Elephas maximus indicus: one gene and its partners. The protein of the gene in region 1 interacts with the protein of each later gene in a pairwise test. Links are inferred from orthologs where the notes say so. Each region holds a gene or a part of one and is shown in the gene's direction. Other genes may lie near its edges.

Region 1 (7,964 bases):
GAGGCATCATTTCGCACTCTCTGCCAGGCAGGGATCCTTACTATTGACACGTTTGAAAAGTAATTACGTGGAAGACTTAAAAGGGCACACCCATCTCAGAGACGGACCACCAGGAATGACAAGTGACACAGACAGAGGCACTATTACAGCGTTCCCTGTTGTCATTTGCCATCAAATCAGCTCCAGCTCATAGCAACCTTACGTATAACAGAAGAAAATGTTGCCTGCTTGTGTGCCATCCTCATAATCGTCACTATGTTTCAGCCTATTGTTGCAACCACTGTGTCAATCCATTTCCTTTAGGCTCTTCCTCTCTTTTGCTGACCCTCTACTTCACCAACCATGGTGTTCTTCCCCAGCGATTGGTGCCTCCCGATGATGAGTCCAAAGTAAGCAAGGTGAAGTCCTGACATCCTCACTTTTAAGGAGCATTCTTGTTGTATTTCTTCTAAGACTGATTTGTTTGTTCTTCTGGCACTTAATAGTACAGTCATATTCTTAATCAATACCAACAAATCAAATGCCAGCACTCCTAACAGTACTTAATGACCATGTGGGGGAGTCCACCATGCCCACCCTTAAAGCATTGGCACAGGCTCATGCCCGTCTGTGGAGGCCCATGCCCAGAGCATTGGTGCAGAGATGGGAAGCTTCCAGTCTGCACCTTGAGTCTATAGAGGTCCCAAGCATGCTTGTTACTCCGGGATAAGGCCTGGGTTTTCCAAGGACTTCCCTTATTGATGTTTTGCTGAACACGGTGCTGAAAGTAGTCACAAAAGACATCAATCTGGCTATTTCTGCCCAAATGCTCTCAGAAACCTCCACATTGCTTCTGAAGTATCCGGGAGGAATGTCAGCATTTTGGCCCTGTGAGCTGTCTATCTCTGCAGAGCTAGTTTCTTGTCAAGCTGAGTGTACACAGATCTCAAGGAGATAGAGACTCACATTGTTTGTGGCTATGTTGGACTGGAGCCAACTCGTGCATCACTCGTGTCTTGTCTGCTCCTGGACTGCACTCGTGGAAACCTCTTCTTTGGCACCTTGCACAGCTAAAGCCTCTTGCAGGGCACCTGAGGCAGATACACCTCTGAAAAGTCCATCCTTCTAAAGACACAGCTGCGGATGGGAAGGTTGGAGGAGAGCATCTCTACTACATACACTCACGTAAGAAAAAATGAGAAGAATTACGTTACAGTTTATTCGAACAGCTGCAACATTTCTAAGTTACATAATGCACTCTTCAATTTTTATTTTTTTGAGATATGATATGTGCCCATTTCAAGGGTATAGTTCTGTGTTTTTGATAAATACATACACAAATATAGCCAACGGAAACCCTGGTGGCGTAGCGCCTAAGAGCTATGGCTGCTAACCAAGAGATCAGCAGTTCGAATCTACCAGGCGCTCCTTGGAGACCCCATGGGGCAGTTCTACTCTGTCCTATAGGGTCACTAGGAGTTGGAAGCAACTCTACAGCAAAGGGTTTTTTTTTTTTTTTTAGTTTGGCCAACACACCAATTGAGATGTGTTGTTGTTAGGTGCTGTTAAGTGGATTCTGACCCAGAGCAACCCTGTGTGACAGAGTAGAAATGCCCCGAAGGTTTTTTTTTTTAATCTCTACAGCAGTAGAACACCAGGTTTCTCTCCCTCAGAGCCACTGAGTGGGTTTGAACCACCAACCTTTCAGTTAGCAGCCAAGCGTTTAACCATGGCTCCACCAGAGCTCCTTAATCAAGATACAGAGCATTGCAAAAAATAAAAAAAGATACAGAGCATTGCCATCATCCTAGAACGTTCTCTGTTCTTCTCTGTGCCTAGTCACCTCCCTCTGCCTCTGCCAGAGGTAATCATGGTTCTGGTTTCTAGCTCACAGGTCCGTTTTGCCTGTTCTTGAATTTCATGTAAATGGCCTAATACAATGTGTACTATTTGGTGTCAGATTTCTTTCACTCAGAATCATGCTTTTGAGACTCATACATGTTTTTGGATGTGTTACTAGTTTGTTCCTCTTTATCGATAAACAGTATCATATTGAATGGCTACGTCGAAATTTGTTTGTCCTTTTTCCCTTTGATGTACATTTCGGTTGTTTCCAGTTTTTTGCTGTTATGAATAAAGCAGCTATGGACATTCCCATACAGATATTTTTGTGGATATATGTTTTCATTTCTTTTGGGTAAATACCTAGGGGTTGAACTGCTAGGTCATAAGTTTAACATTATAGGAAACTGCCACGTAGTTTACGTGTTGTTATTATTAGGTGCCCTCAAGTCAGTTCCAACTCATAGTGAACCTATGTACAACAGAATGAAACATTGCCTGGTCTCGTGCCATCCTCACAATCTTTGCCCATTGTCACAGCCATTGTGTCAATCCATCTCTTTGAGGCTCTTTCTTTCTTTCACTGATCCTCTACTTTACCAAGCATGATGTCATTCCCCAGGGACTGGTCCCTCCTGATCCAAAAAAAGACCAAACCCAGTGCTGTCAAGTCGATTCCCACTCATAGCGACCCTATAGGACAAAAGCAGAACTGCCCCATAGAGTTTCCAAGGAGCGCATGGCAGATTTGAACTGCCGACCCTTTGGTTAGCAGCCGTAGCACTTAACCACTGCATCACCAGGGTTTCCTCCCTCCTGATAACATGTCCAAATTACATGAGACGAAATCTTGCTACCCTCGCTTCCAAGGAGCATTCTGGCTGTACTTCTTCCAAGACAGATTTGTTTGTTCTTATGTAATGCACTCTTAATTAATTAACTCAATTACCTATGAAGTCAATAATTATTTTAAAATTTTTTGTTCCACTATTTGTTTGTGTCTTAAATTGCATTGATATGATATGGATACACATTCTTCTCAAATGTATCCTTAAGGAAAAGATCTAGATTAAGTGTTTATCACTCCAGTAGTTCTCCAACGCTTCCAAGCTTATTTCTACAAACAGCTTGGAATCTGGAAGAATCATCAGAAAACTGGGATGATCTCTTTCATGAATCTCTTATTTTTCTTTGTCTTCTTTAATATTTTATACTTCCAAATATGTATAGCATATGTGTTAGTTATAAAGCAAAGTAATTAAAACAAAATCTATAAATTCACTATCCCCAAGAATGAGAGCTTTTCCAAGATCATTGTTTATGGCCATGGGCTTTTCCTGTCTCCTCCTCCCAGAGTCAGCTGCGATCCTGAATTTTGGGTCCTTCATTCACCCTCTTGCTGGAACAAAACAAACAAAAATTTATCACATATTTAATTTCCTAGCTTAAAAATTTTTTTATCATATATTTTTAGTTTTGTTTGTTTCTGAGGTTTATAAAATGCCATTTAGAATGTTCTGGAACTTGCCTATTTCACTCAACATTGTGTTCCATGTTGTGTGTAGCTTGTAGTCTATTAGTTTTTCATGATGAGTAACACTCCATTCTGGGAGTATATCACAATATATCACTTGTCATTTAGTTGTTTCTCATATTTTTACTTGATACGTGTTACAGTTTGGGAGAGTCTGGTATGTTTAGAAAGATAATTTCAGATAAGCAGAGTTTTTAAGAAATGAAAACAAGTAACCTGTTTCTGTTCCAAAAGTGGGGGCATCAATAAGACATTTGGGGAAAATTGTGAAAAACAAAAAGTGTGATGCATTGTTAATGCAGTCATAAAGCAAAGATTACAATTAAATTTTTTCTATGTGATTTTTTAATCCAAGGTTTAAAAAAGAAGTTTGACTTCGGTAGGTAGAGCATAACTGAAGAAATAAAAATCACCCTCTTTGTTCATGTGGTCAAATTAGTTTGCATTTTCAACCAAAATTTTTTGCCACCTTCATTTTGATTTTTCCCTAAAATCCTAAGTTATATAAAATATACTAAAATACTAAGCTAAATACACTTTCTAAAATACCTTAATCCTATTGATTTCCCACTACTTCAAGAAAACAGATAATTTTTAAAATTCACAAATTAAAAATTGTTTTGAATAAAAAAAACTAAACCCTACAATTTAGCTAACTGCATGCATTTCTCTTTATATTCCTCCTTATGTTCTTAGAAATAATTCAATAGGCACTAAAAATATATTATGTAGGAATTAAAGGTTTTATATTAGCCTTTAAAAAGTAGGCTCTAAAATTTGTTGTAATTTACAAGTATCTATTAAAAATTCTGGGCACTAAATATAATAAGCACATAATATTGATATTGCTTTACATCTAACACCAAAGTGGATTTATAGGTATGAAGATCAACCTCAAGCTGAAAATCTCTGAAGAAATATTTAGAAATTAGCAGCATAAATTCTAATTATTCAGTTTATAATTTTAATTGATATATGCCAAATTTAAGTTTCTTTTTTATGATTATATTTCTTTGTTAAAATCCAGGAACACCTAACACTAAAATATTTTATTTAAAAATTAAGTTGAATTTCAAATAAACAAAACAATCTCAAATGAATAACTCTCTTAAATAAAAAAAGGTTTATTTCCCTTCTATACAACTGACTTGCTGAATTGAACGAAAAATTTCCAAGAGGAAGAATGATCTAGGGAATAAATATAGTGAAAAATAAGGCTAAGTTTCCGTTATGATAGCTTTTGGTTTGTTTTCAGCTCTTAACAATTTCAAAATTAACATGAATGACAGGATGCATAACGTCACGCGGAAACCTTTTACAATTAGAGTCATAGAAAAAAACCCACCTTTCCTTTAGAACAAACCCCCTTACCCAACCGTGATTGCTTTTGAGACAAAACACTTCTAGTGGATCTAGACATTCACAACTCTTTTATTAGCCATCTCCTTCTTATTTATTATTGACACCAATTAGCCTGAGTCATGAGCGGGCCACATTAAAGGCGACACGTGGTCCAATCCCTGTTTTTAAAAGTCCACGCATTTCAAACTCTTCCTCCTGCCAGGGCTGCGCTGTCCCCCTCTGAGGACCTGGGCTCCGCAGCAGTTATTCATTAGATGGCAGTGGTAGGGCAGTCTCGCCTCGGAAAAACCTCTCCTCTCCTCCAGAAAACCACGGAGGCGACTTGGAGTTGGTGCTGGTACCTAGTCACTTACGTAGCAAATCGAGCAAGAGAGACGTGCCCAGGAGGACCGGAGGCAGGTGCGGGTGAGTGTCCGCAGCGGCCAGGGATCCTGCCGGGCGTGTGCGGCTTGGTCCTGGGTCCCGACCGGAGCCCGGAGACGCACCCCGGCCCGGCAGCTCCACTCCCGGGACCCCTCGGTCACGCCCCCCAGCCCCTGGGCCCCGCAGCCCCGAGCCGCCGCGCGCCCCGGGCGCTCCTGGCAGCCGCCCACGTGGTGGAGCCCGGAGAAGCGCGAGGCCGCGGGGAGCGTTCGGGCCGAGAGGCCGCGCTCGCGCGACCCGGCCCGCCGTCCCCTAGGCGGACCCCCAGCTCGGGCCCCCGCGTTTCCTCCCCCGGAGGGAGGGAGGAGGCGACACGGCGCCGGCCGGCCCTCCCTGGTGCCCGCCGCGCCCCCTGGCGGCCGCCGCGGGACGCGCCCTGGGCACGCGGAGCCGCCTGTCGGGGCCCCCCTGCCCGGCTCGGGGTCAGCGGCGGGCGGCGGGCCCGCTCCCCTCGCGCCCCCGGCCGAGCCGCCGGGGCCGCGCCCTTGCACCGCAGCCGCTCGCGGACCCCGAAACTCCGGCCTCCCCGGCCACGACGTCGCGGCCGTCCCCATCATTGCGTGAAAGTGTCCGCCGTAGTAGCGCGGGGTCCCCTTTCTGCCAGGTGTGCCCCCTCCCGCCCCGTTGGGCTTTGGAGCCCACTGCGAAAAAATGCCGCATGCACGCACTTATTTATTTATTTTGCAACAGCTGCAAGAAACAATGAAGCTTTTCAAGAACCGGGAAACGCGCTTTCCAGCCGCGCCGTTGTTGTTTTCAATGAAGCTCTCCGGGCCCCGCGCGCCCCGCCCACCGCGCCCCCTCCCCTGCGCTCGGCTCGGCGCCCGGCTCCCCCTCGGCTGGGCAGGGGCCGGCGCCGGGGGCATTGTTTTTGGAATCCTGCGGGAGGGGAGGGCGCGTGCGGGGTAGCCGGCGCAGTGCGGGTGGGGGCCAGAGCGTGTGCGCGCGCGCGCGTGTTTGTGTGTATGTGTGTGCGCGCGCGCGTGTGTGCCGGCGCGGGAGGGGGCGGGGGCGGTGCCTTGCCAACTGGCGCCCCACGCCCCGGCTCCGCTCCGCACGTCCCGGGATCCCGGGCTCCGGCTCTTGGCGCGTGCCGCTTGGGCCGGGCCCTCGGCGCGCTGCGGCTGTGGGCGCTCCAGTGTGCGCGCGGGCGCGTGTGCACGGCTCTGGCGGCGCGCGCGAGCCCCCAGTGTGTGGCAGCGGCGGCGGCAGCGGCGCGGCGAGGCTGAGGCTCTTGTTTACCAGCGTTAACTCCGCTGAGCGGAAAAAAAAAAAAAAAAAAGGGGGAAAAACCCCGAGGAGAAGCGAGCGCACCAGGCGAACTCGAGAGAGGGCGAGCGAGCTAGAGGGACGCTGCCAGCGAGCCTGCCCCGGCGCCCGCGGCCGGCGCCCGCAGACCCTTTGCCCCGCTCCCGGACCCCCTCCCGCGCCCTCCACGCCCCTCCTTGGCGAGGGGAGCCCACGGCGCGCCGCGCGCCGCAGCTTTGACCTTCAGCGAGCCGGAGCCCCCCGCGCGCAGGGCGGGGGCGAGGGGCGGGGGCCGGCGCGGGGCCCGGGCGGCGCGGCGGGAGTGCTGAGCGCCTCGCGGCCGGCCCGCCGCTTTGTGTGTGTCCTGGATTTGGGAAGGAGCTTGTGGCGGCGGCGGCGGCGGCGGCGGTGGCGCTGAGGGAGGAGGCGGCGGCGAGCGAGCCCGGCGGAGGAGGAGGAGGAGAAGGAGGAGGAGGGGGACGTCTCATTCATTTCTGCTCTGCATTTCTGCCCCTCGCCGGCCTCTCCGCGACCCGGACTTGGGGGAAGATTGCGAAGTGCGTCGCGCCCTCCCGCCGCGGGGGCTCGGGCGTCGGGCAGCTCCCGCTCTGCCTCGGGTTGGGTTGGTTTTTCCTCGCCAAGACTCATTTGGGCTTTCCCCTCTCTTTGCAGTTTTCCCCTTTCTGCCTCTGGGTTTGAAAATGGAGGCCGACGACGCCGACATCCCGGCCCGGCGCGCCTCGGGTTCCCGACTCCACCGAGCCCTGGGCCGCGGCTGCCGGCGCTAAGGGGCCGCGCGAACCCCGCGCCGCCGACCGCAACCCGCGCGGCTCTCACGGCCGGCGCCGCCTTCGGATTCTTGTTTCCTTCGCCCTGGTTTTCGGAGGAGGGAGCGAAGACTGAGTTGGCGACTTTTATTTTCCTTCCCCCTCCCCCTTTTTATTTTTGAGTGAGGGGAGTTTCGTCCCAAATCAAAGGAATGAAGTCTGGCTCCGGAGAAGGGTCCCCGACCTCGCTGTGGGGGCTCTTGTTCCTCTCCGCGGCGCTCTCGCTCTGGCCGACGAGTGGAGAAAGTGAGTATGGGCCCCGCCGCCCGCGGCCACTGCGGGAACTTTTCCTCCGAGGGGCTGCGCCCTGTTTGCGAAACCCGAGTTGCCACCGTCGCAGCTGTCGGCCCCCGGGCCCGGGAGCGGCCGGGCGGGGCGCGGAGGGCCCAGCCGGAGCGGCCCCGGGGCTGAGCTTGGGAGTTTGGAGCCCGCGGGCCCTGGCTCAGCGCATCCCGCTCGGGAAGAGCCTCGTGGCTTTCCCGTTCGCCGTCCCAAGAGTCCTGCCCCGCTAGCCCGGCTGCTCCGCAGCGCTCACTCCGCGGCGGCCTGCTGGCTGGGCCAAGCGCGGGGCTCCTTGGGGAAGTTAGAGCGAGGCCAGCCCCACGCTCCTCGGGGTCCGCCTCCAGCACCTCGCCCTTCCCGGCGCGCGGGGCCGCTCCGCACACAGCGCTGGCCCCGCGCGGCGCGCAGGCAGCGGTGAGAGCGTCGGCGGCCGCACCGCACCCTCGTTGCTGGAGCCGACGCGGGGG
Region 2 (7,772 bases), on another chromosome or scaffold:
AAAAAGAATAATAAAATTAAAGAACCAGTTCAGACAGCCAAACATCTGAATAACTGAAGTTCCAGAAAGTGAAAATATAGAAAATGGGGACAGGAAGGGAGGGAATCGTCAAAGAAATATTTTACAACATCCCAGAACCAAAGGAAATGGGTTTTCATGCTGAAAAGATCACTGAGGAACAATTAGACAGTATGTGTCTCCTGATATGATGCCAGGGGAAATACACAGTCCCATGTATAAAATATTCGTACCAAAAAAATTGAAGCAGAATCTACTCAAGCCTCTAGATCTAAGTACCAGTCTACAAGACATATAAGAGATAGTGTAACATTCTAAAAACACCACTAGGGTCCAATCAGCCACATCTAAAAAAAAAAAAAACACATCTAGGCTATGAGAAACTCTGTAAAATAATTTACACAGTTTCTTCAACAAATAAATTATATAAGAAAAGGAGGAGGAGGGGAAACTACTACAGATTAAAAGAGATTTAGCAACCAAATGCAACATGAAGGCCTAGTTTAAATCCTGATTCGAATAAACCAACATAAAAAAGGTATTTCTGAGACAATCAGGAAAAAAAAGTAAGGAATTATTAATAATTTCCTTAAGTGTAATAATGGAATTATGCTTATGTTTTTTTTAAAAAAACTGATCTTTTAGAGCTACATACTAAGATATTTATGAATGCAATGATATGTTTGGGATTTGCTGTAAAATATTCCTGCCCCCTCCCCCGCAAAAATGTGAGAAATTGATAGAATAGTAAAATAAAGCTGGATTATGGATATACCTGGTGGTTTACTGTACTTTCTACTGTACCCTCTAGTTTTGTGTTTATTTGAAATTTATCATAATAAAAAGAAAAAGAAAGGAAGGAGGGAAGGAAGAAGAAAAGAAGAAAAGAAGGAAGGAAAAAGAAAGGAAATACACTAGCTGTCTCAAGTTTATTCTTATGAGACAAGCTACCAACTGAGAGAGTATCTTAAGAAACCATATATTCAACAAGAACCTAACAACAACCAAAATATATATAAAACTTCACCAATTTAACAACAGAAAGACAAATAACCCAACCACAGAATGGGCAAAGGACTTGAATAGACATTCTCCAGAGAGGACATTCAAGTGGCCATCAATCACATGAAAAGATGCTCAGCATCATTAGCCGTCAGAGATATGCAAATCAAAATCACAATGAGATACCATTTCACTCCCACTAGGATGGACAAGATAAAAGAAAAAAAAAACAGGAAACAACAAACGTTGGTGAGGATCTGGGGAAATTGGAATCCTTATCTATCATTGGTGGGGATGCAAAATGGTGGTGAGCTGGGTACCTACTAACTGTTGTAAAACCTTTTTCCTTTATGCAAAATGTTGCCACTTTTCTTTTTTAATACTGCCTTGGACTCAATAAAAAATCTTTGTGGAATTTAAGGCTCATGTATCACCTCTTTTAGCAAATCTTTCCTGATCTTCTAATATATCCCCAAACTTTACCCAGGCTTCTATAAGACCACGCACATATATATTTCCATGATTTTCATTTACCACATTATATTTTAATATCTCTTTTGTGTCCCTATCAGATAATACACTTTCAACTTTAAATTAAAAAAAAAAAATCTGCCACAAGGTGACTTAAACTTTAAGGAAATTTGTTATTTCACGTACGAGCAAGTCTAGAAAGACCGTAGTCTTTAAAAAAGGGTTGGTCAATTCAGAAGTTTATCACTGTTATCCAGTACGCAGATTCTACCGCTCTGTTCTGCATCATCATCAGGCTGCTAACAAGGAGGCAGCAGCATTTCCGAGCTTCATATTCAGACATAATAATGTCTGTTTTGGATTGGATTGTGTCCCCAAAAAAGATATGTTGAAGTCCTAACCCCAGTTACCTATGAATGTGACCTTGTTTGGAAACAGGATTTTTGAAGGTGTTATCAGTTAAATTAACATGAGGTCATACTGGAGTACCCAAAAACAAACACCCAGTACCCTCGATACTGGAGTAGGGGGGCTCTAATGCAATCTGAGTGGTGTCCTCTTTATACAACACATAAAGAGAAGAAACATAGACAAGAGGAAGACAACCATGTGACAATGGCACTATGCTACAGCTTCAAGCCAAGGAACTCCTGGGACTTCCAGAAGCTGAGCAAGACCAGAAAGGGTCTTCCTCTAGAGCCTTCGGAGAGCATGGCCCTGCCGACACCCTGAACTTGGACTGCTAGCCTCCAGAATTGCGAGACAATAAATTTCTGTTCTTATAAGTCATCCAATCTATGGTGCTTTGTTACATGGGCCCTAGGAAATGAATACCTTCACCGAAAACACAGTAAACTTTTTCCATAAAAGGCCAAATAGTAAAAAGACTTTATGTGCCATACTGTCTCTGTTGCAACAACTCTGCCTCTGTAACACCAAAACCGCCATCAACAATACGTAAACAAATGAGAAGGCCGTGTTGTAATAAAACCTTATTTACAAAAACAGGCGCTAGGTAGAATTTAAGGGAGCTTTTTTTTGGTGGCATAATCGTTTGGCTCTCAGCTGCTAGTCGAAAGGCTGGTGGTTTGAATCCACCGGCTGCTCCACGGAGAGAAGAGCCTTGGAAATTTGTTATTTTGATCTGTTCCTGTAAAGATTTCAGCCCAGGAAATCCTATGGGGCAGTTCTACTCTGTCCTATAGGGTCGCTATGAGTCGGAATCAACTCGATGGGCACACAACAGGTAGAATTTAGCCCATGGGCTGTTGTTTGCCCACACCTGGCCTTTTTGGGCCTAGAATGCAGAGCTGGTGAAAAGAGCTAATCCATGTAACATCTGCAGGCACCCAGGGATGCCCGGCAAAGGACACTTCTCTTCCCTCAAGGCACTGATGACGTCATTTGTGGGAGTAATCAGCTTGAGTCCTCTGGCCCACTAGGCTGTTTTCTGGATGGGGGCATGAGGTACAGTCATGTGACATTAACACTTCAATCTGAGCAGCCTCGGGATTACTGGTGTTTGGCTGCCAAAGACTGATCCCCAGAGAGGTTTTTCCACTAGGAAACCTCACTACGGTTCAAATTTAGAGGTTTTGAAGTTAAACCTACTCTGTGTACACCATACAACAGTGTAGAATGTGGGTAGTACAGGGGTCACTGACACAAATTCCTACAAAACAGGCAACATAAATGAGGAAAGCAGGCTCAGGTGGGGAGGGGACCCCTTGGAAAACCCATACGTAATATAGCAAGGGCACTCTTCGGCTTCAGCCAATTATTGCCACACAGAAATGTGGACCCAGAGCTGTCCAACAAGGAAGAAATGCCAATTTCCAAGTGAAATCTGTTTGTAAAAAACATTGGCAACTAATTCAAACTGTTTAGAAATACTGGACATGGCATACTGGAAGGATAAGAGGTCATCCGATAAAACTGGGGTGTTTCAGACGTGGAGAAATAGGAGGTAAAGGCTGAAAGTAAGGCAGCTTCTGGAGAAGGTTGATTGTCACACTAAAGGAGCTTACATATTGTCTTCTAGGTCTGAGCAGTCACCAAAAGATTTAAGCAAGGAAAGCACGCATTAGAACAGCATTTTAAAAATATCACTCTGGCAGTTGATGAGTGCATGGCTGGGTAATGAATTAGGTGGTTATCACTATAAAAAAAAGGGTAAAGGACATGGAGGACAGTACTATTCTGATACACATGGGGAACTGGTTAATTTTTTTTTTTTTTAAAGGAGAGACTTTGGAGGCCTACTTACTTTTTACCTTCTCCTACCCGACTGTAAACTCCCGTGTGTCTTATTCACTGCCACGTCCCCAGCGCTAAGCACAATACCTGGCAATATGGTAGGTGCTTGATAAATATTTGTTGAAAAAAATGAACAAGCGGGAGGGAACGCAGGCAAGAGGAGTTTTGAAGAACTGGGTTTAAGGGTCACCTGCCTCGGAGGAAGAGAATGTTGCGTGAGAGCTGTCAAGGGAGTTGCGAGCCTTGGGAGGCCCGTTTCCTTCTCTTAAGCTTCCTCCCCGAGCCTTGGGGAGGGATATCTCAGTGAAGCGATCGCACGCACTGCGACCTTCGCCATCGAAACCTGGCGCTTTACGTGGCCTCTTCCGTTTATGAAAGGGGGAATTAAGCACCTTGATAGGGTGAAGGGAGGATTAAGTGACAATTTAGGGGATGAGCAATTTCTGTTCTTCACTTGGTCCTGCCTTTTCAAAGCACACAGGAAAAAGGGATGGGCCTCAGCCTCCGACCTCGTGAGGATTACTTTGGGGTGGAGTGGGAACCGATGACTGGAGTCTCTGGGCTGGTCCAGGCGAATTCCCAGCCTAGGTAGAGAGAATAACCCTGATGCCCCCATTCCACCTAAACCCAGTCCCGTCTCCCTGTCCTTGTTCCCACAGATCCCTTTCTCCGACCCTCGCTCTCAGCTCCGCCCTCTACCCTCCCTCCCGCTTCTTCTTCCCGCGCCCCTCGCTTCCCCCCATTTCCGTCCCCTTCCCCTTCTTCCTCCGCGCTCCCACCCTAGGCCCACCGCACTTCCCCGCCCAGCTGCATCCCGCTCCCCTTCCTCCAGCCTCCAGCCAGTGCCCCTCCCGCGAGGCCGGTGCAACCCCGTGCCCCGCTCGCCCAATGACGAGACGGCGCAGGGGCGGGGAGGGGCTTGGGCCGGAGCGGAAGTGGCGACCGGAGCGGAAGTGGAGCTGCCGCCACCCGCCGCCGATTCCGGAGCCGGGGTAGCTGCCGCCGCCGCTGCCGTCGCCGCCTGAGAATTGGGGTTGGGAAGGAAGCGGTCATCGCGCTCTGAGCTTCGCTGGGAAGTGTCTTTGCTGCCTGCAGTCCTCCTACGGTGAGTGCGCGCCGGGTCCGCCCAAAGCCCCTGGGAACCCAAGCCTGAGGCTCCTTTTCGGCTCCGGCGGCCGCGCGGGTGGGCTCCGGCGAGAGCCGAGCGGCCTTCTAGGTCCCGCGCGGCCGCCTGCGGTGCGGGCCTGTTCTCACCGCGGCCCCTCCCTGCTTCCGGGGCCGGGCCCTTTGCCTCCTCGAGCGGCGCGGGCCTCCCTCGCCTCCTGCGGCCCTGCCCTGCCCTGGCGGCGGGGTGCGGTTCCATGCTGAGCCGGCCAAGACCGCCGACCGTGGACCCGGGGCCCTCCCTCTCCAGCTCCGATCCCCGCGCGACCCCTCCCTTCGCCGCAGGCGGCGAGAGCGGCCCCTTTCAGCTCTATCACCTCCTCCTCCCTGTTTTCCGGTTTCCAAAAATTGAGATATAACCAAATACGGGCGAGTTCTCGAGCCCCGGGGCCCGTGCATCACTCTCTTTGGATGAGTAAGGGGTTTAACCTTGGGAGACAGCGGGGGGGAAAACCCCCTCCCACTTTGCAGTAAAGCCATTTCATCGTCGTTCATTGGTTATGGAGCCTGGGAGGACCCGAGATTAACCCGGGAAGCACTGGGCTGAGGTTTTGAGTTAAGAAAATGCATTTGTTGGAACCGGTTACTGAGTTAGGTGGAATCCCCAGGGGGAAAAAAAAAATTATCAAAGGCTGGGAATCCAAGCATTTTCCCACAGCATTTACCTTCATTTAATGCTCAGGTATTTTGTGTCCTCCCCCGAAATTCCCCCATACTGTATGAGAGCATGTTTTTTGGTCTGAAATTTGCTTGGTGGCCTCCCTGGTGGTGAGGAAGGAGTGGACATGATTTGTGCCCCTTTTTTTCAGAAAATAAATACACCCTTGTCTATTGCAAATGGAGAACTCGCACGTAACGGGGCTTTCAAAGGTGGCAGTATTGGTAAGACAATTTGCCAACCTTTCGATAAAAATCATGTCTCTTGTGCTTGCCCTCACTGCATTTCTCTTTGTTAAGGCTAGGTAGCATCAAGCTCTGATTTTACTTGGCCTGTGTGGGAGATGGAATTTGGCAAGACGATGTCATGATCATAGAAAATCAGACAGCCACAGAAGCCAAAGCAGAAAGGTGAAGGGCTTGTAAGAATATGAAAATCGTCTGGACTTCTCTCTCTGTCTCAAATGTTCGGATGCAGTGTATAGAACATAACGCTGTTTATAGAATTGGATATGTATGCGGCTACTTAGCTTTTTGCGTTTTCCTTTTGGAAATTTATAAATATTAGTCCTTAATGAATTTTTTCTTGACTGCTTCTAGTACACCCATTTCTTTTTTGGGGATGGATATCAGTGGTCTGAGCCCCTCATTTTTCTAGAATTCATGCCCTTAGCAGCCCATGTTGTGGTGAGGGGAAAACCTATCGGTTTTACTGGACACAAGTGAGAATTTAAGTGTGGCTTTCAAAACGGAAGGCTGATGATCCAGTGGCAGCTGCTGAATTATTTTCCTAATCTTTCGTTTCAGTGAGATAAGAAACCATTCACTCATCTTACAGATGCAGTCTTTATGAAAAATGAGGCGATTTGGCCTAGGCCACACACCTAGTTTTTAGATTGAATATCCTCATTCATCGGTAGCAAATATTTATGGACTGTCAGTCCCAGGAGTATGGCTCCTACCCTATAATCTTCTGTACATTTCCCATCATGCAGTGCCTGTGTTAAGTTGAAGCCATTTTAGAATTGGAGCTCTATAGATCAGCTAGGCAGGCTCCATAAAACAGGCTGGGCAAATTCCCATGATGCTAGTTCCCTAGGCTGTGTCTCCGGAGATTTGGAACTGCAAAAAGTGCGTTTTGCCCATTTGGCTGTGTGGATACAGAAGCGAAAAGAGCAGTGAACCTGGAGTCAGAGAAATCTGATTCAGGTCTTGCCTGCAGCATTTTCTAGCTGTGTGAACTTCAGCTTATTACTTAAATCTCTGGTTCTTAGTTTCCCTATCTGCAGAGTTGCCATGAGGCATTTTTACAACCTGTAAATTGTTAAATATAAGCTTTTGGTTTTGTTTTTTAACCACAGTGTTCACTGCTAATGGCTTTTTTCTTCAGTTGTAACCTGATGAAACCGAACCCTCTTGTACACATGTTGCTTTCAAAAAATATTATTGTAGAACTTTATTTTGTATATACCATTTCTGGTCTTTCCGAGCCCATGTTCTCATCTGTACAACGGGAATGGTAATGTAGTCTTAGCTGGGTTGTTGCGGCGAATCCAATAATTAAAATAAGTATCTGGCACATAGTAGTAAGTGTTTGATGTTATTCGATCATGTATTCATGAACACAAACACACAGAAACATGTATGTAGGTAGATGTATGTATGCATTCCATCTATTTGGGATTTATTTATCAACCGATGAGGTAGCATCAGGCATAGCTACCGCTTATCACTTACAATGTGACAAGCTTTGCTGTAAGCACTTTACACATATAAACTCAGTCCTTATAACACCCAACAATAGATAACTCTGTTAGCCTCATTTTACAGAAGAGGAAACGCAGGCACAGAGAAGGTAAATAATTTTCCCAAGGTTACACAGATGGTAAGTGCTGGAGCCAGGAATCAAACCAAGGCAGTCTGGCTCCAGGGAATGATAGATTTCTAAGTGTGGTAGAACAACACATGCATTTTCTTCTTGTGAACACCGTTTAGTCCTTAGTTTTTCTCTGCATGTATTCTACTAAAATAGATGTGTTTGAACAGGAATTTTAACTATTTTTGAATATATAATTTATTGGGAGGAAATATCTCCACCCTAGGGAGCGCTGGTGGCACAGTGGTTAAGTGCTCAGCTGCTAACTGAAAGGTGGGCAGTTCGAATCCACCAGCTGTTCTGCAGGAGAAGGATGTACCAGTCTGCT
Region 3 (6,960 bases), on another chromosome or scaffold:
CAGGAGAAGGCTGATGTCAAAAGACTTGCTTTCCACAGCCCACGTGACAGCCTTTTGTGAGAGAGTTGGCGTGGAGTCTCTCAGGCTATTTCTAGGAGGCCTCCTGGAGAGTGGACAGACCTCAACGGAAAGAAGGCTGAGGTGCCGTGGTGTCAGGGCTTCTTGGCTCCCTGAGGCCCATGTGAAATGCCCTGGTCAGGGAGATGGCAAGGAGGTTTCCGGTAATGGCCAGGCTCTGAGGACCCTTGAAGGTGACCACAAGAAGAAGTAGCTTGAAACCTCTATCAACCCCAAAGAGCAGTTCTAGAAACAGTTTCAGCTGGAGGCTGACCATAGCCCCTGACCCCATCCCACCAGGTCCATGCTGGGCTGGGAGGAGCTTTGACTTCAGAGCAAGGGAGTTGACAATGCCATGGACCTGGACATGGGATGAGACTGTTGTGGGATGTGAAGTGACCGTTTGTGCTTCCCTACCAGGAAGCATCCTGGGCCTGCCATGTTTCCGTCCAGCCGAGTGAAGGCCAGCTCGTGAGAGGTAGTCTTAAAGGGCCAGTGGAATAGAGAAACTTGGTTGCTTCCCAGTTCCACAGCTGTGCTGGGTCAGCAGCGGGTGACACTTTCCGAGTTCTGTGGCGTCCAGCAGAGGGCTTCTTCGGGGCAACAGGAGTTTCTTGTGCTCATGTGAAAAGAGGGCTTGACAAGAGTGGTGAGACCCATCTCCACTCCATGGAGGCTTCCTCACAGGCGAGCGGTCCAAACTCTGAGATTGTTTAATAGCTCTCTCTCTTGTGGGCCTCAGCCAGGTGTGGGCAGGGCCAGGACCCAACCAAAGAAAGGGCCTGGGGGTGCGTGAGAGTAAGGGTCACTAAAAAAAAAAAAAAAAAAAAACACCAAAAAACGTAAAGCAGTTGCCAGCAAGTTGATTCCAGCTCATGGAGATCCCACGTGTGTCAGAGTAGAGCTGCGCTGCATAGGGTTTTCGCTTGCTGATTTTTGGAAGTGGATCACGAGGACTTTCTTCCCAGGTGCCTCTGGGTGGACTCAGATCTCCAACCTTTTGGTTAACAGCCAAGCTCATTAACTGTGCCACCCAGGGACTCCTAGCCAGCTGCAATGGCTTGCCACTGCCCCCTCTCAACATGCCTCGTACTGGACGTTGTAACATAAGGAAACTCACTCCGCACCCAGGCTTGAAACGATCCCTTCCTTCCCCCGCTGCCCTGTGGGAGGAAAACCACAGCTGAAACCCCTCAGACTGAAACATCTGCGGCTGACAAGTGAGGCCCTCCTGTAGCCTTTCTGAACCTTTTTTTGGGTCTGATACTCTGCCAAAAACTCTTTGGAAAATGTAAGGTTCTCCTGAGAAGATTTGCCGACAGACATGTGCCCACACCACATCCGCTGAACAGGCCTGCATTCCTCCCGAGGGAGGCAGCTGAGGAGCCAGCTGGAAGTGCCTGGGTTCCAGACAAACCCTGAAGGCAGTGAGGAAGCAAGAGGCATGGATGGAGCAGGGGGTGGTGGACAAGGGACACAGCAGAGCGCACACTCCCCAAATCTGTGTGTTAGGAGGAGCAACCCCTGGGTGGCAGCTGTACTGGCAGGTTCCCTGCTGAGCCTGGGAAGGGGGGCCATTGTCCTCAGCCCATTTTGTCCCAGCTTGTTAGCTCCAAAGAAGGAATCTCTTAACAGTGGAATTTCAGAGAGCGAGCCAAGTGGCAGGGTGCATGGTTTTCCACACAGGGTGGTGCTGGTTTGGGGGCGGTCTTCTCTAGTCCACTCTCTTCAGACCATCGCCACGAGTAAGGGCAGGCCTGCCCTGGAAACTGTGATAGGTAAGTTTTCTTTATTGTTTGTTGTTGTTAGGGGCCGTAGATTTGGTTCCTACTCACGGTGACCCTGCGTATAACAGAACAAAACACTGCCTGGTCCTGCGCCACCCTCACAATCGTTGCTATGTCCGAGCCCATTATTGCAGCCACTGTGTCAGTCCATCTCACGGAGGGCTTCCCTCACTTTTGCTGACCCTCTGCTTTACCAAGCTTGGTGTCTTTACCAAGCATGTTTCTTTATTACCTGTGTGTTTTCAAGCTGGGTATATGAAACCTGGGTATGGAACTGGCTGGGGGAGATCTTACCCACAGTTCTCACTTTGGAATGAAAGGAGCAGGCTTTAAGTCCTGCCTTTGTCACTTTGAAGCCTATGACCCCAGGAAAATCCTTTAACTTTTCTGGATCTCACTGTCATTGTCTACAGAGTGAGATATTAGACAACTTCGTCCCTGGGCCACCTCGAGGAAGACCAGGTGGGGCAGTGCCACCCCACCGCCCCCCCCAGCTGACCCCTTCTCTCCACGGCCAACAGCTCCGGGGAGCTTGGCCTCTGGTGGTAAAGCCTGCAGGAGGGGCTTTCCAGGATGCAGCTGGGCTGGGGTTCACGGTCCCCGGAGCCCCTGCTGTCCTGGATGTGCAGGGGGGACAAATGCCTGGGCTGCCTGCCTGCCTCCTCCTCTGCTGTGGTGGGTCCATAACTCCAGGCTATTTCCCCCCCGAGGGTCTGAAAGTTGGAGCTAACTGGCTGGGGAAACAGAGAGAGAGAGATGGGCGTGTGTGCACGTGTGCTCCTGTTGTACACAGTATGGGGGAAGGGTGTCACAGGGCTCTGTTTCCATGGGAACCGGTGGCACAAGCTGGCTCCCCTGGGCACTGCAAAGGGAAACTTGGTGGAGGGTGCGGAAGGTGTGGAGGGTGCAGGGCACCTGACTTCTAGGTGGTTTCCCAGGGGCTGAGCAAATGCCCAACAAGAACTGCCTGTCTGGGATGCAAGAAGGAGCCCTTCTCCCCAGGATGCCTAGGGCCCTGCAGCCTTCCTCTACCACCCCTGCAGGAGATGGGGTGGCTCCTCACTGTACCACGTGCCATCTGGCGACCTTCCTCTACTGCCCCTGCAGGAGATGGGGTGTTCCCTCAGCTGTGCCACATGCCATCTGCAGACCTGAGACCCAGGTGTGGACCAACTCGAGTCCTCAGGAGACCTGAGAGCCACTTGTGTGATACTGCCCCTGGCAGCCACCACCTTCTCTGGGCTGTGAGCCCACATCTGTGAGGCCAATGGGGAGTCATGCACCCACAGAAAGGTCCCATGGGGAGGATGTTGCAGAAGCCAAGGGTGGCCAGAGGATGACCAGTCTGCCAGGAGGCAGGAGGGGCACAGGGGAGACCCTGTCCTCATACCTGAGCCGGGTCTTTCTCTGTGGCCTCAGCTTCCCATCTGGACCTCAACAGCTCCCAGCTGCCCTTAGGGACCCTGAGACTGAGGTGGTCAGAGGGTTGCTCCACACCGCCGCCCCCGTCTATGAGGAGGTGCTCATAAGTCAGGGGGAGGGGTAGGGAGTAGAGGAGGGTATAGCGTGTTCTGCAAAATACCTCCAGGAGGCTCTCCAGGCTGGACTGCCGCCCATGCTCCCACCCCACATTGGGCAGGAACATGTGCCCTGGAGCCCCCTACAACCTCTCTCTCCCATAGGCGGTAACCAAGAGGAGAAAGGGGAGGAGCAGAACATATGTGTGTGTGGGTGTGGGGGCGTTAGAGAAAGAAAAAGACAGGGAGAGGCACAGGGAGAGACAGCCAGTGACAGGACTGGAGGGAGGCCAGGAAAGCCAGATGGGCTAAGAGGTCAGGACCAGGAGCCGTATCCACAGAGAGCAATTGGGACATGGATTCTGGGAGGGGGGCAGAAGATGGGGGGGTAAATATGTGTGTGTGCATGAGAGAGAGCGAGAAAAAGAGAGAGGGAGAGAGAAGGAGAGAGAGAGAGGGAAGGGGGAGGCAGAGCAGGGGGGTGGAGGGGTGGAGCAGTTAGAAGCAGGAAGGGAAGGAGGGAGGGGTGGGCAGGGGGCGGATGAGAAGCTGCCAGTGACAATCACGTCTGGTCCAGCAAACATGAAGCAGCTGCCAGCCGGCAGTCCCGTTCTCCTTGGCTGGCTTCGAGGGGGGAGGCCGGCAACAGTTCCCTTCAGCGTCCAGGATGCAGCGGGCCAAGGTAGGCACTGGCGGGGTTCACCTGAGTGGGGAATAGGGGTTTCTTGAGGCTGCCCTGGACCCAGGTAGCCTTGTTATGCCTCCTTCTTGGACCCCACCCCCTGCTGTACCTGTAGAGTTGCTTTGGGGACAGGGAATGTTGGGTGTCCTGGCTGGAGGTGAACTCCGGGGCCTCCTTGGGATGGGAGAGACTTTAGGTGTTTAGGAGAAGAAGCTGGGCAGAGGAGGCATGTGGGGCCCGCCCCGTGGCTGGTCCTGCTCAGCTATGTCCCTGAGGCAGGTGACAGGGCAGCTGACCTGGAGCTTGGGCCCTGCAGCCTTTAGAGTTGAGGGGGTCGTGAGTGCTGGGAGGGGGTGTCTTATGCATCATTTAATGAACCATTCAGGTAATTAATGAATGCTCATTTTCCAAAAGGGCTGGGAGAAACTAACATGCTAATGGTCCTTTCTCTGGGGCTACTGGGAGCTTGGAGACACGCTGCAAAGAAAGCACCTGGCATAGAGTGAGGTTCAAGAAGTAACGGTGGGGGTGGGAAAGGATATAGAGAAGAATTGATTGAGGAAGAACAAAGGAGAGGAAAATCAGCTGAAGCCCCGCAGAGGGTTCGATCTGTCCCGAAGGCCTGCTAGCTTCCGCATGCTTGGGACAGTCTTGCTTTGGAAGCAAGAAGAGGGCTCCAGGACTAGGTCCGGTTGCTCAAGCAGAACCCCCCAATAATGGTGCTTAAACAAGGGTGCCTGCATTTCTCCCCCAGCAGAAGTCGGAGGGAGGCAGGCAGGCAAGAGGGAGCTGGCATGGAGGCTCTGCGAGGCTGCAGGGCTCCGTCTGTCTCTTGGCTCTACGATCCCGGTGCTGGCTCCCATCCTTGAGGCTGCGGTAAGCTCCAGCATCGCTGCCGGAGCCCCAGCCGGCAGTGCAGGCGCCGAGGAGGAGAAAGAAGGAAGGGCAAAGGGGCCCGACCCGTCTCAGATCAAACCACAGTCTTGTGAGTAAGGAAGGGTCCCCGGGAGGTACAAATGGCTAAACTCTAAACTGCTAACCAAAAGGCTGGCAGTTCGAACCCACCAGAGGTGCTACAGAGGAAGTCCCGGCAATCTGCTTCTGAAAGATCACAGCCACTAAAAACCTATGGAGTGGTTCTCTTCTGCACACGTGAGATAGAGCTGACGGTAACTGGCTCGGGTTTGCTTCTAATTTGTTTGTTTGTTTTGTGAGTAGGAAGAATGGTCACTGGGCTGGCATCTTGCAGTCTCTGTCCCTGAGAAACCCAGGAGGGAGGACAAGCAGTCTGGAGCAGGCTTGTAGCTGCATTCAGGCTACCCAAAGAATCTGCCCCAGACCCCAGGCCACCTCTTCCCTGCCTGGTCCATCTCCCCAGTGCTGGGAGGACTGACAGAGGTGATGGGCTTGAAAGTCCTTTGCATACAGTGGTGGGGTTATCTCTCCTCTTATGGTAGGTCCCTTCAGCAGCTGCCAGGGGATAGGCAGGGCAGAGCCTGAGAGAAGCTTCACCCCACCTAGTATACTCAGGTCCTCGCCACACACATGCCCCACCCAGCACAGGCCACATGCACTCACGGCTCTGAATGTCCTGTGAGTGTGTACCGAATAGCCACAGAAGCACGCCCTCACACACGCCCTGCCACCGTGCCCACAGTCTGACCTGTGCCACACAAACATGCATGTGCACGGAGGGGGTGTTCATACAAACGTGCACACAGCCAGCTCTCTGTCCACCACACGGAACGACCGTGCTCCTCCCCTTGCTGGCTCTGACTGCCAAGAGGTCACTTCAGAGGTTGGCCATCCCTGCCCCTGCTAAATGAGCAGAGTGAGGGGCTCAAGTCCTGCAGGTACAGCTGGCCACTGCGACCACGTGCATCCACTCTCCCCCACCACCAGCACTAAGTGCCCCCCGGGCCCTAGTGGGTCTAGCTGGGCCTTATCCTGCCATTTGCCTTCCAGTGGCTGCCTGATCAGAGGTGGGAGCGGGTCCCGTATCTCCTGGTGCTGGGCCAGGCAGGGACAGTGGCCCTAGTGGGAAGTCACTGCAGGGTCCCTCACCAGGTCAGCTGGGGAGTGTGAAACAACTTCCTCTCTCATGGCAGCAGGGGTTGCACTCAGAACAGAGGCTGGCGATCACACAGAGAGCTGCCTGTCACTCAGGACATCCCCATGGGTGTAGTGGTCAGGGGCTGTCCCCAATAACACCTCACAGTGTTGAGCCCCTCGGCCTTCTCCACACACTTCCCTGTCGGTCACAAACATGACAACGTCCCTGGAAGGCAGGCAGTGCCTCTGTCCATTCTGGAGACCCTGAGGCCCAGAGAGGGGGAGCTGCTTTCCAGCACAGCACCGGGACCCCCTCAAGTCAGCCCCCCAACTCTGGAGCCTGCAGGGCCCCTTGGTTCTCTGCCTGTCATATGGCTGCTCTGTGGTGTGCTAGGCCGTGGGCTGAACAGCTGACAGACACACCTGTTCCAGGGAAACCTCAGTCAGCTGGGAACAGGCACTGAAGGGGGAAGGGGGGCTGCCGGGGAAGGGGGGCTGCCGGGGAAGGGGGGCTGACCTCTGAGCCCAAGGCCAAGAGAAAGAGGCAGTGAACTCTGTGAGGCCCTAGAAGGGAGGAACAACCAGAACCGCAGGTTCCACACTAGAGGTCAGGGGCTATTGTCTTCACCGCGCAGCAAATCCACTGGAAACTGCTTCCTGCCCAGCGGCCAGCCTTCTTGTGGGAGAGGGACCTTAATTGGCTCCTTTATTTGCAAAGATGGTAACTGGGGCCCAAGGTTGGGGTGGGAGAGGGAAGTGGCCCTGCCTCTGGTCTCCAGGTGGAGTCTGGGGGACGGGCAGGCCCTCCATGGATTCTGAGACACCCCAGGTTCTGGGCCGGGGCTTCATTTGCATTTTCTCCCTG

Evidence for each region.
Region 2: the proteins of IGF1R (region 1) and YWHAB interact in a two-hybrid assay, tested with the Homo sapiens proteins (2 studies listed by IntAct). The link is inferred for Elephas maximus indicus from reciprocal best matches to the Homo sapiens genes IGF1R and YWHAB.
Region 3: the proteins of IGF1R (region 1) and KCNIP3 interact in binary tests that used the Homo sapiens proteins (3 or more experiments, as listed by UniProt). The two-hybrid records come from large-scale screens. The link is inferred for Elephas maximus indicus from reciprocal best matches to the Homo sapiens genes IGF1R and KCNIP3.

Annotation. Positions count from the first base shown.
Region 1 is NC_064831.1:90,260,816-90,268,779, reverse strand, and holds the start of IGF1R (insulin-like growth factor 1 receptor), read left to right. Parts: upstream 1-4,952; 5' UTR 4,953-5,122; intron 5,123-6,263; exon of another isoform or gene 6,264-6,945; intron 6,946-7,060; 5' UTR 7,061-7,367; coding exon 7,368-7,461; intron 7,462-7,964. UniProt on the Homo sapiens protein: Receptor tyrosine kinase which mediates actions of insulin-like growth factor 1 (IGF1). Binds IGF1 with high affinity and IGF2 and insulin (INS) with a lower affinity. The activated IGF1R is involved in cell growth and survival control.
Region 2 is NC_064843.1:24,489,426-24,497,197, reverse strand, and holds the start of YWHAB (14-3-3 protein beta/alpha), read left to right. Parts: upstream 1-4,693; 5' UTR 4,694-4,852; intron 4,853-7,772. UniProt on the Homo sapiens protein: Adapter protein implicated in the regulation of a large spectrum of both general and specialized signaling pathways. Binds to a large number of partners, usually by recognition of a phosphoserine or phosphothreonine motif.
Region 3 is NC_064835.1:89,148,852-89,155,811, reverse strand, and holds the start of KCNIP3 (calsenilin), read left to right. Parts: upstream 1-3,923; 5' UTR 3,924-4,028; coding exon 4,029-4,043; intron 4,044-6,960. UniProt on the Homo sapiens protein: Calcium-dependent transcriptional repressor that binds to the DRE element of genes including PDYN and FOS. Affinity for DNA is reduced upon binding to calcium and enhanced by binding to magnesium. Seems to be involved in nociception.